2 linked regions of the Drosophila melanogaster genome follow. The protein of the gene in region 2 binds, or shares a complex with, the protein of the main gene of each other region. Each region holds a gene or a part of one and is shown on either strand. Other genes may lie near its edges.

What was found.
Region 1: the proteins of boss (region 2) and sev are in contact, whole or in part, in a cryo-EM structure (PDB 9BFQ), measured with the Drosophila melanogaster proteins. Residues at the interface, in NP_542440.1 of Drosophila melanogaster: His245, Gln249, Glu465, Asn474, Val475, Thr476, Thr477, Tyr478, Tyr479, His480, Tyr481, Asn482, Asn485, His486, Thr487, Ser488, Leu489, Glu490, Leu491, Gln497; in NP_511114.2 of Drosophila melanogaster: Glu866, Leu868, Ser872, Gln873, Ser874, Ala875, Phe876, Ser877, Ile878, Arg879, Asn880, Ile885, Phe886, Gly887, Leu888, Gln889, Arg890, Leu891, Gln892.

What each region holds. Positions count from the first base shown.
Region 1 is NC_004354.4:11,084,646-11,091,577, forward strand, and holds the start of sev (sevenless), read right to left. Parts: upstream 1,655-6,932; 5' UTR 1,551-1,654; intron 1-1,550. Other genes in the region: vago, read left to right, coding at 4,726-4,807, 4,876-5,014, 5,081-5,342; CG2076 (uncharacterized protein), read left to right, coding at 5,934-6,153, 6,221-6,332, 6,406-6,547, 6,646-6,932. UniProt on the Drosophila melanogaster protein: Receptor for an extracellular signal required to instruct a cell to differentiate into an R7 photoreceptor. The ligand for sev is the boss (bride of sevenless) protein on the surface of the neighboring R8 cell.
Region 2 is NT_033777.3:25,957,752-25,964,683, reverse strand, and holds the start of boss (bride of sevenless), read right to left. Parts: upstream 2,691-6,932; 5' UTR 2,641-2,690; intron 1,243-2,640; 5' UTR 1,121-1,242; coding exon 1,069-1,120; intron 766-1,068; coding exon 295-765; intron 236-294; coding exon 1-235. Other genes in the region: CG14540 (uncharacterized protein), read right to left, coding at 3,243-4,021, 4,089-4,212, 4,270-5,208. UniProt on the Drosophila melanogaster protein: Acts as a ligand for sevenless tyrosine-kinase receptor during eye development.

The sequences.
Region 1 (6,932 bases), on a different chromosome or scaffold from region 2:
TGCTAAAAGGCCCGAACCTAGTAATTTACAAATATTTGCAGTATATCAGCAAGCCAAGTTTTGTCTAATTAATAGATACTCCAATCACTGTATTTACAAAGTGGCAGTTCTGCCCTTGCAAAATGCTATATTACTATCATTTTTGTCAAACCGTCAATTATCATGAGTTTTCCGGATTATTACTCAATTTAGTGTAACAAGCATAAACAATTTACATGTATAGTTGATTAATAGCTGTACCAATAGCATTAAATGATATTTGCATATTTGAAAATTTGATGTATATAATATATTTGATATATTTGATATATATTTGATATATTTGGAAAATAATTAATAAAAATAAGTAGGCAAGTGAATATACCCCAAGAAAAAGCTTAACTACATTGCATTCTACTTATTTCAGATGCAGCTCAAAGGTTCAACGCACATTGCCGGCGAGATAAACAGGGTAAACACAAACACACACACACACAATCTAAGTCCGGATCGATAAGCCAAAATCCCAATGATCTCCGTAACTGGTTTGGCCAGCTTCCACCGCCCAACTCATCCAAATGTCGCCGGGATTTCGATTAGAGGACATGGATGGTCCATGCTCTCATGGTCCATGGTCCAATTAATATGGCGTCTGCATAATCAGCTAGCCAAGCGACAAGTTTCAATTAACATGGCGTAATGCATGGCCAATAAGTCACGCCCCCTTCGACCGACCACAGCAAAAACAACAACAACAACAACAACAACAACAACAATAGCGAACGGGAAGTGGCCATAACAAATTTATCCTCATTAAGATGCAAACACATTCGACGGACGGAGAATAATCGAGCGGAGTCGCACTTTCAAAAACGGAAATCCCTTTTGTCCGCAAGTTCAGCAAAACCATAGATATACATATATATATGTATATATATATATATGTATATATAATAGTTAATTGCACTTTAATTTCATATTTACCAGCAACAACAACAGCACAGCAGCACGGAAAATGTTAATTAAATCGCCCGATGAGCAGACTAGACCGAACAAATATATATATGTATAAACAAAATGAAACAGAAAAACCGAAAATAAATTGAAATTCAAATTGAATAAACCGCGCGAAATAGTGAAAACACGAAAGATCACAGCGGGATTAATTGCATTAAAGTTATTCAGAGAATATTATGCAAAAGCTGCCGGCCAGCGTTTTGCATTAATTAGTCGAAGGTATGTATGCTATAGTATATATATATACATATTTGTACAATCAGAAAGTCAAAACCGATGGAGCCTTAAACTCTCACCCACATTTCGCTCGAATCGCCGCTGTTGAAGTTGTTAAGCGCTGTTCACGCGCTTTAATTCAATTTATTGTTGATTTGAGCGGCTTAATTGCATTTTATTGTTGCAGTTGCGGCCCCAACTGAAAAGCAACTCCACACACACACACATAGGAACACTTAGTGCACGCGAAAAAAAAAGGGTATTAAAAGAGCCGAAATTCATGCAAACACACACATACGCGCACGGATGTATCTTGTATCTTTGAGAACGCAACTCACTCGACAAAATGTCACAGATATCTGGATGTGGATCTGAATCTGGATCTGGATGTGCGATTCCCGAAGCGTTACGTAGTGCGCAGTGGCGCGATCGCAGCAGAACTGATTTGCCGGCGAGCGGCGGCTTTTTAACCAAGCCCCAAGCTCCAAGTCCAAGTCCAACCCCCCAGCTGGAGAACTTGAGCACGGAACTGAAACCGAACCGAAGCGATGCGATGCGATACGATACCATACGATACCATACGATACCATACGATGCGATGAACGATGAGTGACGAAGCGCACCGCAACCGAACCGAACTGAACCGAACCGATCTTAAATGACCATTGATCTTCTTTTTCGTTGACGCAGCAACTATGACGTCATTGGCAGGGCAACCCCTAAACTGGATATCATGGGTAGATAGCCCACCGCGCTCCTCTTTCCATGGGTCAAAGCTCAACTCAATCGGTTGATCGCAGATCGCAAGCAGGCCGCCAGATATTTAAGTTCTTATAGATACATAGATAGATAGATGTATTTTCCATCTCAAGAAACCAATGCCACCTCAAGAGTATCTATCTAAAATATAATCTTAATAAAAACATGATCTTAACATTGTGCATCTAGTTGATTTGATGATTTTCGGTTTTTAATAAGCTTCCGACTTACATAGTAACATCTTTGTATCATTAAAATTAAGGTAATGGGCCGAGGCTATGTAAAATGTATATAATTATTAAATTATAGTACTTATTTTTGAGCTAGACTTATTAAGACTAAATATATTGAAAAGCTTACATCCAAAGAGGGTTAAATTTCAACTTCTTGCAATGGAAAAAAACTTTATTCGTTTACAAATGTTAACAGAAATAATTTAAAATACAACTCAATTTACTCTAAACATCGTCACATGAATAGCGCAAATCAACGCGCTTTTTCGCCAACAAATAAACGTGGCAGAAAATTTGTTTAAATCGTTTAGCTGACTCACTCTTTACATTTAGCTAAGCATTAACAGCACACCTAAATTGATTATTAAACTAATTGATCGCAAGCAGCAGTAAACGCTTGAAAATAATTGAATTCAATAGGGAACTAGCCCACACAATCAGAAAATAAAGTCATCAATTGGGGTGAATAGAAGTGTATTTCCATGAAAAGTAAACGAGATGTGGAAAGTCATAGAAATTTCATTAAAAATTTTCTATCAAACTACAAAATATCATATTTCCATAACTTTTTAACCGAGAAATATGAAGAAAACAAGTTAAGCTATTAATTTCATTGATTTACACAAACATTTAGGTATTTTTTTTTTACTCTGTAGAATCAAAAACTCGCAAGCTAAGAAATATGCAATATTTTAAAGCATTTTCCGAGCATTTGAAGCACACAAGAGTAGGCAATTTTCCGGTTACACATGACTCGTGACTCATACAACTGACACTGCGGGATGAAAAATTGAGCGGCGAGTGAAAGGCTTGCGTGACAGCTTCCGTTTCCGGTTCCGCCATCAAGTCCAAGTATCCCTTTCGCTTATGGATTTTTTGGCCAACGGAAAGGATGTGCCGCAGACATCCAAACTGCACTCGTGCGCACAATTTCTTGGCCCGAATAATCTGTGGAAATCCAATCTCCCGCCTGGGATCATCGAATTCGTACTAATCGTTTGAAATATTCTGGAATTGATTAGACGGCAAACTTATTACACACACTTGACGGAAGATGCGGCTTATCAACCCGAGCGATTCTCAATGGATTCGCCGGCGGACTAGGTGCTACATACCTATTTCACAGACTGTCACGTGAAAATCAGATTTTCGCATTTTTTTCGAAAAAAAAAGGGACAACCCCGGAAATTCACCTTCTGATTGACGTATTGTGCACATTTTGCATGCAAACTCTTTTCAATCTTGAACTGTAGTGAAATTTGCAATTTTGTAGCACTACAAATTGGTCTTGCATAAAAATATTTATTTCTTTCTCTCAGTTTAGTCATTGATGTTTTAGTCTTTTTCAGTTTATTGAGTAAAAGGTTTTATTTATATCGACAATTGAAGAGAAACTAGAGTTAGTTTATACGTTGTAAAGCAATTCAATTGGTTGCTTAACGTAACATAAAATTATATTATATTAAATGGTGTATTGTGTCGATTTGGGAACTGTTTTTGGATGATTCACCACCAATCGATGCCCCAGTGCCCGACTGTCTGCATAATGGACTTGGTGGCATTGGATGATCATGATCGTCCGGCGCGAACCAAAACATCGAAACGTAAACAATTCTTTGCATCTCAACTCAAATGTTTATACAATTTTATACATCAACGGTCAAGAGAATGGGTACAACCAATTCAAAATCAGAAGCAAACAATTACTGAGACAGTCGACTTAAATACAATTTTTAATAAAATCTGCATTTTCTAGCAGTAAATCGATGTATTCTATTAATTTCTGCATACATTTTGCTCTATTTGTGATATAATTATCATTATTATTAATTGAATTATGCCAATGAAAGTACTTTCTATATTTGTGGATTCAATCATGCGAATATAGGTATATATTATTATGCTGATTAGGCAGGTCAGACGGACTTATATACAATACACAAAATATGGATCGATATTTGTTTCTTTTTGCATATTGCTATTAATCGTTTTCCTTCCATTTTATTTTGTAGCGCGATAAGCAGAGCATCGTAAGTTGCGTTCCGAAACTGTCAATCCAATAATTAACAGAAATTCACTTAGTAATATAAACTGAAAGTTGATGGCTTTATAAGGCGTAAGAGTCTGAAGATGTAAATGATGTTGCTCATCAACTGAAAATATAGCTAAATTTGTATGATTGAATCTATTTTTGGCAAAGCAAGGGAATTTTTCAACGGTATTGAGATCTATTTCAATATCATAAACATTTGTTTTAACACCTATGAAACGCACTGTTCGCAGGCTCGTACGCATAAACATTCAACAGATCCGAGTAAAATTTGTTAAATTTATTGTAGAGAAAGCGCGCAAATGTCGTAAGTGTGTGATTCCATACAAATAAACAATGTACTCTAGGTTTTTTAATATAAAAATGAACGAAGATTAACCGAACGGACTTCAGTTGTGCGCTAAACTTTGCAAACGTCGGGCCAAATTCTGTCCGCCGATCTCAGTTCTTTCGAATAGCAAATTTTCACAAATGGAGTCAATTAGCAGCATGATTTATTTAGTGGCCATGATGTCATTGATCATCGGTGGCAGCCAAGCGATTCCTTATCGACGTACGATTTTTCCAAATAACACATATATTTTCCAGTAATATACGTTGATTTTCCCTTTCACCCTATAGCCTCGGCGTATCTGTACAATCAGCAGTACTGTATGGATACATTGACGGGTCGGCAGCTTTATATCGGTGAAGTCTTCACGCGAGAGGATCAGTGCGTCCGCATCCAATGCCTGGAAACGCTGCAACTCTGGGAGGATAGGTAAGCGTGCCGTACTAGTATGCCATAGCATCGGGTAACAGATCATCGTACTCATCCATGGTCCAGCTGCCAGGTGCCGAAACTGACGCAGGGCAATTGCACGCCAGTTCCATCGACGAACCCGCATGCCGAATATCCCCGATGCTGCCCACTGTATGAGTGCAAGAGCTACGAGTCGAATTCGGGGGGAACTCTGGAGCAGACCAACATATATGACCACTATGGTACTCTGCGATCATCCCATCTCACTGAGATGATAGTGATCGACGGGCGGACACCCCCTCGTGGCGAGATTCACACGGCGTCGGCGAGGAAGTATCAGGTGTGAGAAGTGAACTGGTACTCTGTTCCTAGGACTACTTAGTCTTTAGTGCAGATCTAATGTGTACAAATACAAATGGAGTTTATTGCGGAATACTTGAATATGTTAAATAAATTTAAATTTCACATTTTTTTTGTCTAAAGAAGTGTATTTTTTCCACTGTACTCGCTATTCAAACTTGGCGCCCTATCGATAGCATTGCTTAGCTTATCAAATAAATTATCTCAGACAACGGGCTACGATTTGAATTCCTTACTTCAGGATCGTTGAGTTTATATTTCTATTTATTTTCTCGGGATTTTCAATATTATATTTTAGCATAATATCGATATTAGCGGTATTTGTGGCCGTCTGCGATAGGCATTTAGTTATCACGTAGCCAGACATCGAATAACGATTGCACCACTTATCGATAATAAAGCACAAGAGACAGTAAAATATTTAACAATTTCTACGAATCAACAAATTATAAAGCCGCAGTGAGCAATTAAAATCAGTTGGAAGAAACGCTAGTGCCCCACATAGGAATCCGAATCAAGCAGCACTTACCGAAGGACAACCAATTGCCCTCTAACCGAATTTCACCACAACAACACAATGTTGCTGCGTCTAGCACTTTCCACCGCCCGTCCAGCCGGGGCTATCAAGATCCTGGCCCAGTCTCCGGCCCAGCTGTTCCGGGCCAATGCCAATCCCAATCTGAATCTCTCCACGGTGCGCACCTACGCCCGCAGGGTGGTTCGCACCCGTGAGCCCGTCGAAGAGATGCGTGCTCCCTCGCTGAAGGAGAAACTGATGGGTCCGCCAAGTGCCAATGGTAAGTCTCTTGTGTAATCCCCCATCTATGTATATCGGTCGTCTAATTGTACTCTTCTGGCGTGCAGCATACTCCATGGGCAAGGGCGCTGCCGCCGGAGCAGCCGCCGTGGGATTGGGCGCCCTGTGCTACTACGGCGTGGGATTGGGAAAACAAACCAGCATCGCGGATAATGCCATGTGAGTGATAGCACGAGTCTCTCACTTGCGAAATACAGGGACTTTAATAACTGAGATTATATTTTCCGTTTAGCATGTGGCCCCAGTTTGTGCGCGATCGTATCCAGAGCACCTATGCCTTTTTCGGTGGCTCTTGCGTTCTCACCGCGGCCGCAGCAGCAGCCACCTTCCGTTCGCACCGTCTCCTGGAGCTGGCCTCGCGTGGCGGCATCTTGGTGAGTCCTCTTGCACAATTCGTAGTTCTTGCCGCCTACCTGACCAACAGACACAACAGAACATAACACTTCCTCTTCATTTGCCTTTAATCGCTTAGGCGACCATTGCTTCGCTGGCGCTGGTCATTGGTAGTGGAGCAGTTGCCCGCTCGATTGAGTACCAGCCGGGTCTGGGAGCCAAGCATCTGGCCTGGGCGGTGCACTGCGCCATTCTGGGCGCCGTGATCGCACCCATTTGCTTCATGGGCGGACCGATTTTGACGCGCGCCGCTCTCTACACGGGCGGCATTGTTGGTGGCTTGTCCACGATCGCCGCGTGTGCACCCAGCGATAAGTTCCTCTACATGGGCGGCCCACTGGCCATTGGCTTGGGCGTGGTGTTCGC
Region 2 (6,932 bases):
CCCCAAGGCATTTGATGCAGCAAGTGCGCAACTTTGGGAAAGAGGTGCGCCCGCGTTCCCGGTATTGGCCAGATATTGTATTCCAAGTCCTTGATAACAGACTCCAGTTGTTTGTACAGCTCCCAGTCAACGAATATGCCCATCGAGTACGTCGTGCACTGCTGCAGAAACTGAACTTCTTGAATAAGCAAGTTCTCTGCCAAGCTGGCGTTGTCGATGCTGATGGCGCGAATTCCTGGAATTCAATAAGAAGGATTTGATTTAGGTGCATATAAATAGCGGAATTTTACAAACCAATTTCAAAGTCTGCCATTATAAGATTCGCCTGGTTCACACGATTGATTACGAACAACGCGGAGTCGGGGTCCTTGGTCAAGACACTGAGCACCACATCTCCTTCGAGTATCTTGACAAACTCCTCCTGCTTCCGTATAACCGTTCCCTCATCCGCACTATTGACCGTCAACTGCAGACCATTGAGACATATTTCCGGCACTAAGCTGGCAGTTGTTCCACTGCTGGGTCCCTCGGTTGTGGATGAGATGAGCGGGGCCAGCTGACCATCGACGGAGCTGGAGACTTCATCATCGGTGGTTGATGCCACCGTTGTTGGGGCCCTTGTGGTAATACTGATGGGCTTGGCCTGCTGACTTGTGGGCTGTGGTTTGGTTATTCGAAGGGGAGCGGACTTCTTGGTGGGTGATGTCAGGTCAGCTCCATGGCACTCCAAGACGCAGAACACAGTGACTAGGATGCATAGAAGAGCTGCAGAGGACAACAATGAATTAAATCTTATTCGTATAAGATGGAAAATATCGTCGTCCTTAAATTTAAAGTAACTTTGTTCTGGTTAGCATGGTTGATTGACTAGTTAATTGATTGAATTACTCAATAAAGGAATTCACTTAAACCATATTTGCAATGGAATTTTCTACACAAACTCAAGCTTGAATGGCATTTTGAGAAAAATACAGGTCTTGAAATATTCCCGGAAAAAGAAATCCCCTCAAGTTGCCATTCATTCCATTGCACTTCACTTCTGCCTTACGACATTTACTCAGCACTCACCCACTGGTAATGGCTTTCTCCGTCCAGATTGCAAAGCGTCCATGACCTTCATTTCTAAAGTTTTAAAGGTTTTACAATTAAATACAAAAAATGTCCGTTGATAATTAAGCAATGCAGCAGTCTTTCCTTCAACATGTACTGATAATTGATATCATTTTATTTTTATTTTGATAGCTAGAAGGAAGAAAGAAAATGGTAAGTTGGATATTAGCCAGTGTGCAGAATTGTATTTTTTATTTTTTGCCGGCCACTTCAACCATTTTGCCGACTGCGTGGAGAGTGCTGCACTTTAATCGCATTAAAAATTGTCACACTAACACAGACTTTGTTGGCTTGGCATAGTTTCCACTTTTCCATGTCTGTTTCTTCGTGATTTTGCCCACTATCAGTGCAAAGTAATACGGTGGAAAAAATTTCTGTTTCGCATATTCTCTCACTTCGGGAAAATCAATAGAGGTTTTTTGTGGAAGCCGAATTCTGGAATTTATGGCACTGCACACACTTATTGCACAGATTCACGCACTAGACCCACTGACAGTCAGAGCCACAATAGTTTTGGGCAACAGCAATTGGCAAAAAAAAAAAACAAAGAAAAAACAACAAGGGAACACAAATTGAACGCCTCAGTGATTTTAGGGTCAATTAAACGTTTCTCGTTTTATATTTGTCCAGTGATGTACGCAGCACTCAAACCGTACATATATATTTATTGTTGGCCCACGAACAACCAATTTGATTTGGTAAGCCCCTGTGTTAACGGGTGCAGCATTGCAGTTGCCCGCACAATGCAATTATGTTCTATTCGATTTTTTTTTTGTCTCTATTTCAGTTTATTTTATTTTAGTTTTTCCGTTTTCGAACCCACCCCCTGGAAAACCGAAGGCGGAACACTGATGTGGCAATGTTTTGCACCTGTTTTGGCCGTTTTGTTTTGACTAACTTGGCTGAGGCCCGGCACTCGCTGGTTGTTATGGTTATTGGCTCAAACAGTCACTCACGAAATTGAGTGCTTTCCACGTCGAGTGTACAATTTCCCATAATTATACAAATAAATATGTACACCCCGAAGCCAGTTCAAATATTGGTCATTGCAATTAGCCAACTTGCTGGGCAAAAGGGTTTCGGGTTTCAGGGTGGAATAGGGTGGCCTGTCAAAGGTGCCGATCAGTAATTGCAATTTGGCCAGTCTTACAGTTCGGCACTTGTGGATAGCTTGCACAATGTTTGCTATCCTCGTTGGTTTATCAAAATGTTTTATTTTATTTTATGGCTATCCAATGCAAACTGTTCAGTGGAATATCCTTGAAAACAGAACCGACACTCGTGCCTTGGGCTTTGACATTCGTATGGCACTTTTCCGGGTTTTGGGGCTTTGCATAACACTTTTAATTCACGTCAAACGCAACATCAGTTGAAAAGTAAGCATTTTCATTTGGCCACGTTGCATAAGTTTAATTTAGAGCTCAATTCCTTTAGGGGGTTTAACTTTAATTGCCCAAAAAGCAACTATATGGCCTTATTAAGCTGTTTGGCTTTTTATTTAAATACTCATTTTACTTTGAATAGACGCACCAATATCTTACCGACGGACCACGTCCACGTTTAAACTGTTTTGGCCAACTGAACTAGCGGAAGAACTTGCAGAGCCGCGACACTCGTAAGCCCATAAAAATGCAGCTGCAGGTTAGGGCTAGTGGGGGTGGTCTTAGGCCTTATTTTCCACTCGACTCAGTTTTACCCGGTTGCCGGATGGGGGTGATGCCTTGTTTTGGCCAGCTCAGTTGATTCTTGCTTTGCAGTCAATATAATATGCACTTATTAGTGACACCAATGGGCATTACTCAGCGAGAATCGGGATTGCCAAGGGCCAAATAGGTCAGTTTTATGCTCAATGTAAGCTGTTCACATAACATAAATAAGAATATGAAAGCCAGTTTTAAATTTTGAACATAGTTTAATTGTGATCCTAAAAATGAATTAAATGAATACATGTACGCCAGGTACGATAAGTTATAGTTAATTTGTCGAAACATTTGATCCAATTTTTTTTGGCTTTACATTATCAGAAATAATTTAGGTCATGCCAAAAGTAATATTTAAATAAGTATTAAGGCGATTTCTAGGAATGGGTTCCCCTTCAGTTTGAATGCTCCTTTATCTTCACTCCAGTGGCTTTACTGACCATCTCCGGCGCCTTGGTTGGCTCCCCTTCGATTTAATTTGCGGTTGGGCCGGCTCGTAGTTGCTCCACTTGGATACTTGAGGCCACAGTCATCGTCCTCGCTGCCGGTCGAGATGTCCGAGGAGAGCTGGAAGTCATCCACTTCGGTGTAGGTCTCATCCGTACTATCGTTGGGCGTTTCGATCTCCGTGTCGTCAACCTTTTTATTTTTCTGACTACCTGCGAGGGTCCTAGAGCTCATGGCTGCTGGCTGACAAAGTCCACCGTTTGAATTTTTCTTGGGTATCAAGATGTCCTCGAGACTGGGCAGTTCAGCCGACATCTGACCATTCATATCCTTCACCTGATTGCAGTAGCGCTGGATATTATCCAGGACTTCTTGCACGCCCACATCAGATGATTTTACAACTAAACTTTGCTCCGATGACGACTTTTGTGCAGCAAGAACTGGCTGCTGAGCTTTGCAGATGCTACGATAGGCACTGGAGTTCATTAGGGACTCGTTATGGTCTTTTTTGGCGCTAATAGGCATTTTGCTTTGATTCCTAATCACTTTTCCTGGTTGTTGTTTTAAACTATGCGACGGTTTCTGTGTCAGATTCTGACTGACTGAGGCCGCTGCTTCTAAGTTCGCCTTCGAAAGACTCAGCATTTCCTGAGTGGGCTTTCCATTCATCAGCGATTGATGCTGGTAAAACATTTTATCGTACTCGGATTTCATGCACAAGTACCGAAAGTGTCGCGAATTTTCCTCACCGAAGTAAATTACCTCTGCAGATGCCAAAAAATAGTTACATATTATAAATACCAAATAAACACTGAAAGTAAATAAACTCACTGCTAATGACTTGTTCCTGCAGCTTATCCAGGTTATCGTTTGTCTGCTTCAACTCGCCCGAGAACCTTTCGATTTTGTGGCTCAGATCGCGAAAGTTCTTTGCCAGAGCATCGGATATGGTGTTCTAAAGAAAGTGCATAGTGTATTAACTAATCAACTAAGGAACTTATGCGAAACTCACGCCAACGGCCGTTTTGACAGTCTGGCGGATCAGGTCAAAGAACTCCTCAGGATCTTCCTCCTTATCTTCATCGTCATCGGCGGTACTCACGTGCACCTTGCTCGCCGGAACAGGCTGTCGCCCACGCATCTGCTTCTGATGCGGATGCGGATGCTGATGCTGATGCTGATGCGGTTGCGAATGCTGGAGGCGCTGCTGTTGCTGATGCTTGAGGTGGTTGTGAGTAGTCATCTGCTGCTGCTGGTGCAGCTGGTGTTGCGGCGGATGCTGCATTGCTCCGGATTGCAACTGCATTTGCATTTGATGGGCATGAGAGTGCGGATTGTGCCGGCGCATATTTCCCATGTTTCCCTGCTGGGGCACCATTAGTTCCTTATCGGAGTAGTCGTCGTTGTCATCCATTGGATAGTCGTTCCTCTGGGTATTGCCCTTTTCGCGGTGCTTCATTCGGTATGTCTCCTTCGACTTGGACATGCCATAGCCATTAGGGTTTACCGTGCCTTCGGCCGGGCTAAAATGCGGCACCTTGTTCATCGGCGCCTGACGAGCACTGGCCTTATTGGCCATTTGGTTTCGCCTCGAGGGCATGGCGTTATATGGAGATGGCTGGACATGGCCGGGAATCATTTGCGATATTGATGGCTGCGCCATCGAACCGGGGGCATTTCGCAGATTGGCCGCCGTCAACGGCAGATTGGTGGTGATGTAGTAATCATTTTCGGTGACAAAACTGCGCTGAGTGCGAGCATCGACTTGTCGGGAGCTAATGGTTCCTCCACCGCCAGTTGCACCGCCTGGACCCGATCTCTCAGCCCTTGCTGTTTTCTTGGTCACACCTGCATGGGATATCGCTACCGACTTTACCGGATGCAAGGAATCCATTTTGGAACCATAGACCTCCTCGATTCCCTTGCGACGAATTGGGCGCACCATCTTCATCCAAAGGCTCTTTACTCACCGAAACAAACTTTCGTTGGCCTCGAGTTGCACCAATAAACGCAAAAGCACAATAATGTATAAACTGTATTTGATATATTTTACATCTATTTATGTTCTTTGGATGATTTAGCTAAAATGAATGAGGGATATAGAAAGATAGTGAATGTTATAACACCAGCCTACTGGATAGATAGATTGGATAAATATTACTCGTGTGAATAAACTGAAACATTAACGACATACATTTTCGTCGCATTTCGCATTTATCAAAATAATCAGAAATAATCGTTATTATGGTTATTTGTCAAATTTTGATTCACTTCCTTATACGAAGAGTATGAGTTGTACAATATATACATATTTACCACGGAATGATAGATCTCTGCACCTAAATCGCATTCATATTGATTACTCACTCCAGCGCTTCGTTTCTACCAAATTTATTTTCACACCTCAAACACCTCTTCATTATTCAAACCACAGGTGGTGAGGGAGTTTTCCCGTAAATTTGTTTACCTTTTGCCGCTCAACTAACCGCAAATGGCAATGACACAGAGCAAAGGTTCAATGTTTGCCCGCTTTGCCGGAAATATTTCTTCGGTTCGACGCCAAATCAAATGCTAATGAGCTGCATCTGATTGTGAGTGCGAAAGTGGTTTTGGATACCACTTGCTGTTCGCTTGGAAGTGGTTCATCGTTCAAGAAATTATTACAAATATTTATCCGATTATTTACCTTTGAACCTCCTCGGGCTGCCGTGTATCCAAGGCGAATGATTCGAATGCGTGGCATGGCCACGCTGGAGGAATCCTTAAGTAGGCAACTAGCTTTAAGGTCATGTCTGGACTGCTGAAAATAGACCGCTTAGCCTCAGGTTACAGACACTTAAGACATAAAGGGAATGCAAAGCGAAAGGGATTTAGAAAGGCGCTCAATAAAGTGCTGAAGGACCCTTAAAAATTGGGTCATCTGTCTGTGGGGACGGTGCCTTGAAACGGAAAACCCATGATGCCCATGCCAACTCCTTGTCTCATGTCCTCATTATGCAAATTGCGCATACGACGCGTGTGCTGCTGCCCACTGCAGGAGGCCTTCTCCCCTTTCCGCAAGCAAATCATTTTGTTGACAATCTGTTGCATGCGAATGCTATTAGGAACGAGATGATATCTGTGGGAATAATTTTCATTTAATGTACACCCTTTTCATTTTCTCTTCCCCTAAACGACCCCAAGAACAGCTCATTTAATTCGTTTTGTGTGTACCCTAGTCATAAATATAAATGAACCATGAACGGCCGACAACAGTTGACTATAATTTAAGATCCTGGCCTGCAGTTGAGCCTTGAATTTCCATCCTCTGCATGTGTGCGCATAAATATTGCAACATTCGAGGAAGCAACAAAGGTCAGACAGGCTTTATTTGTTGCAAATGCGCAGAGAAGCTGCCATTAAGCCTTTGAGTCCCATCTGAATGACGTTCATGTTGACATTGTCATGGTGATACAAAAAATAATCACCATTATTAGTTGTTCCGGCCAAACTGACTTGATTGGCCACTGATTCTATGCCATAGACTGTTTGGACTGATTATCAGCAAAATGCCAACTGACTTACAGAGCAAAACGTGAGCCATTCCAAAATTAATATAAGTCATTAGCATTATGCGGAACGATAAATTTTAATGGGACTCGGCATTAGAATTGCTTAAGGCGGAGATATTTCCAA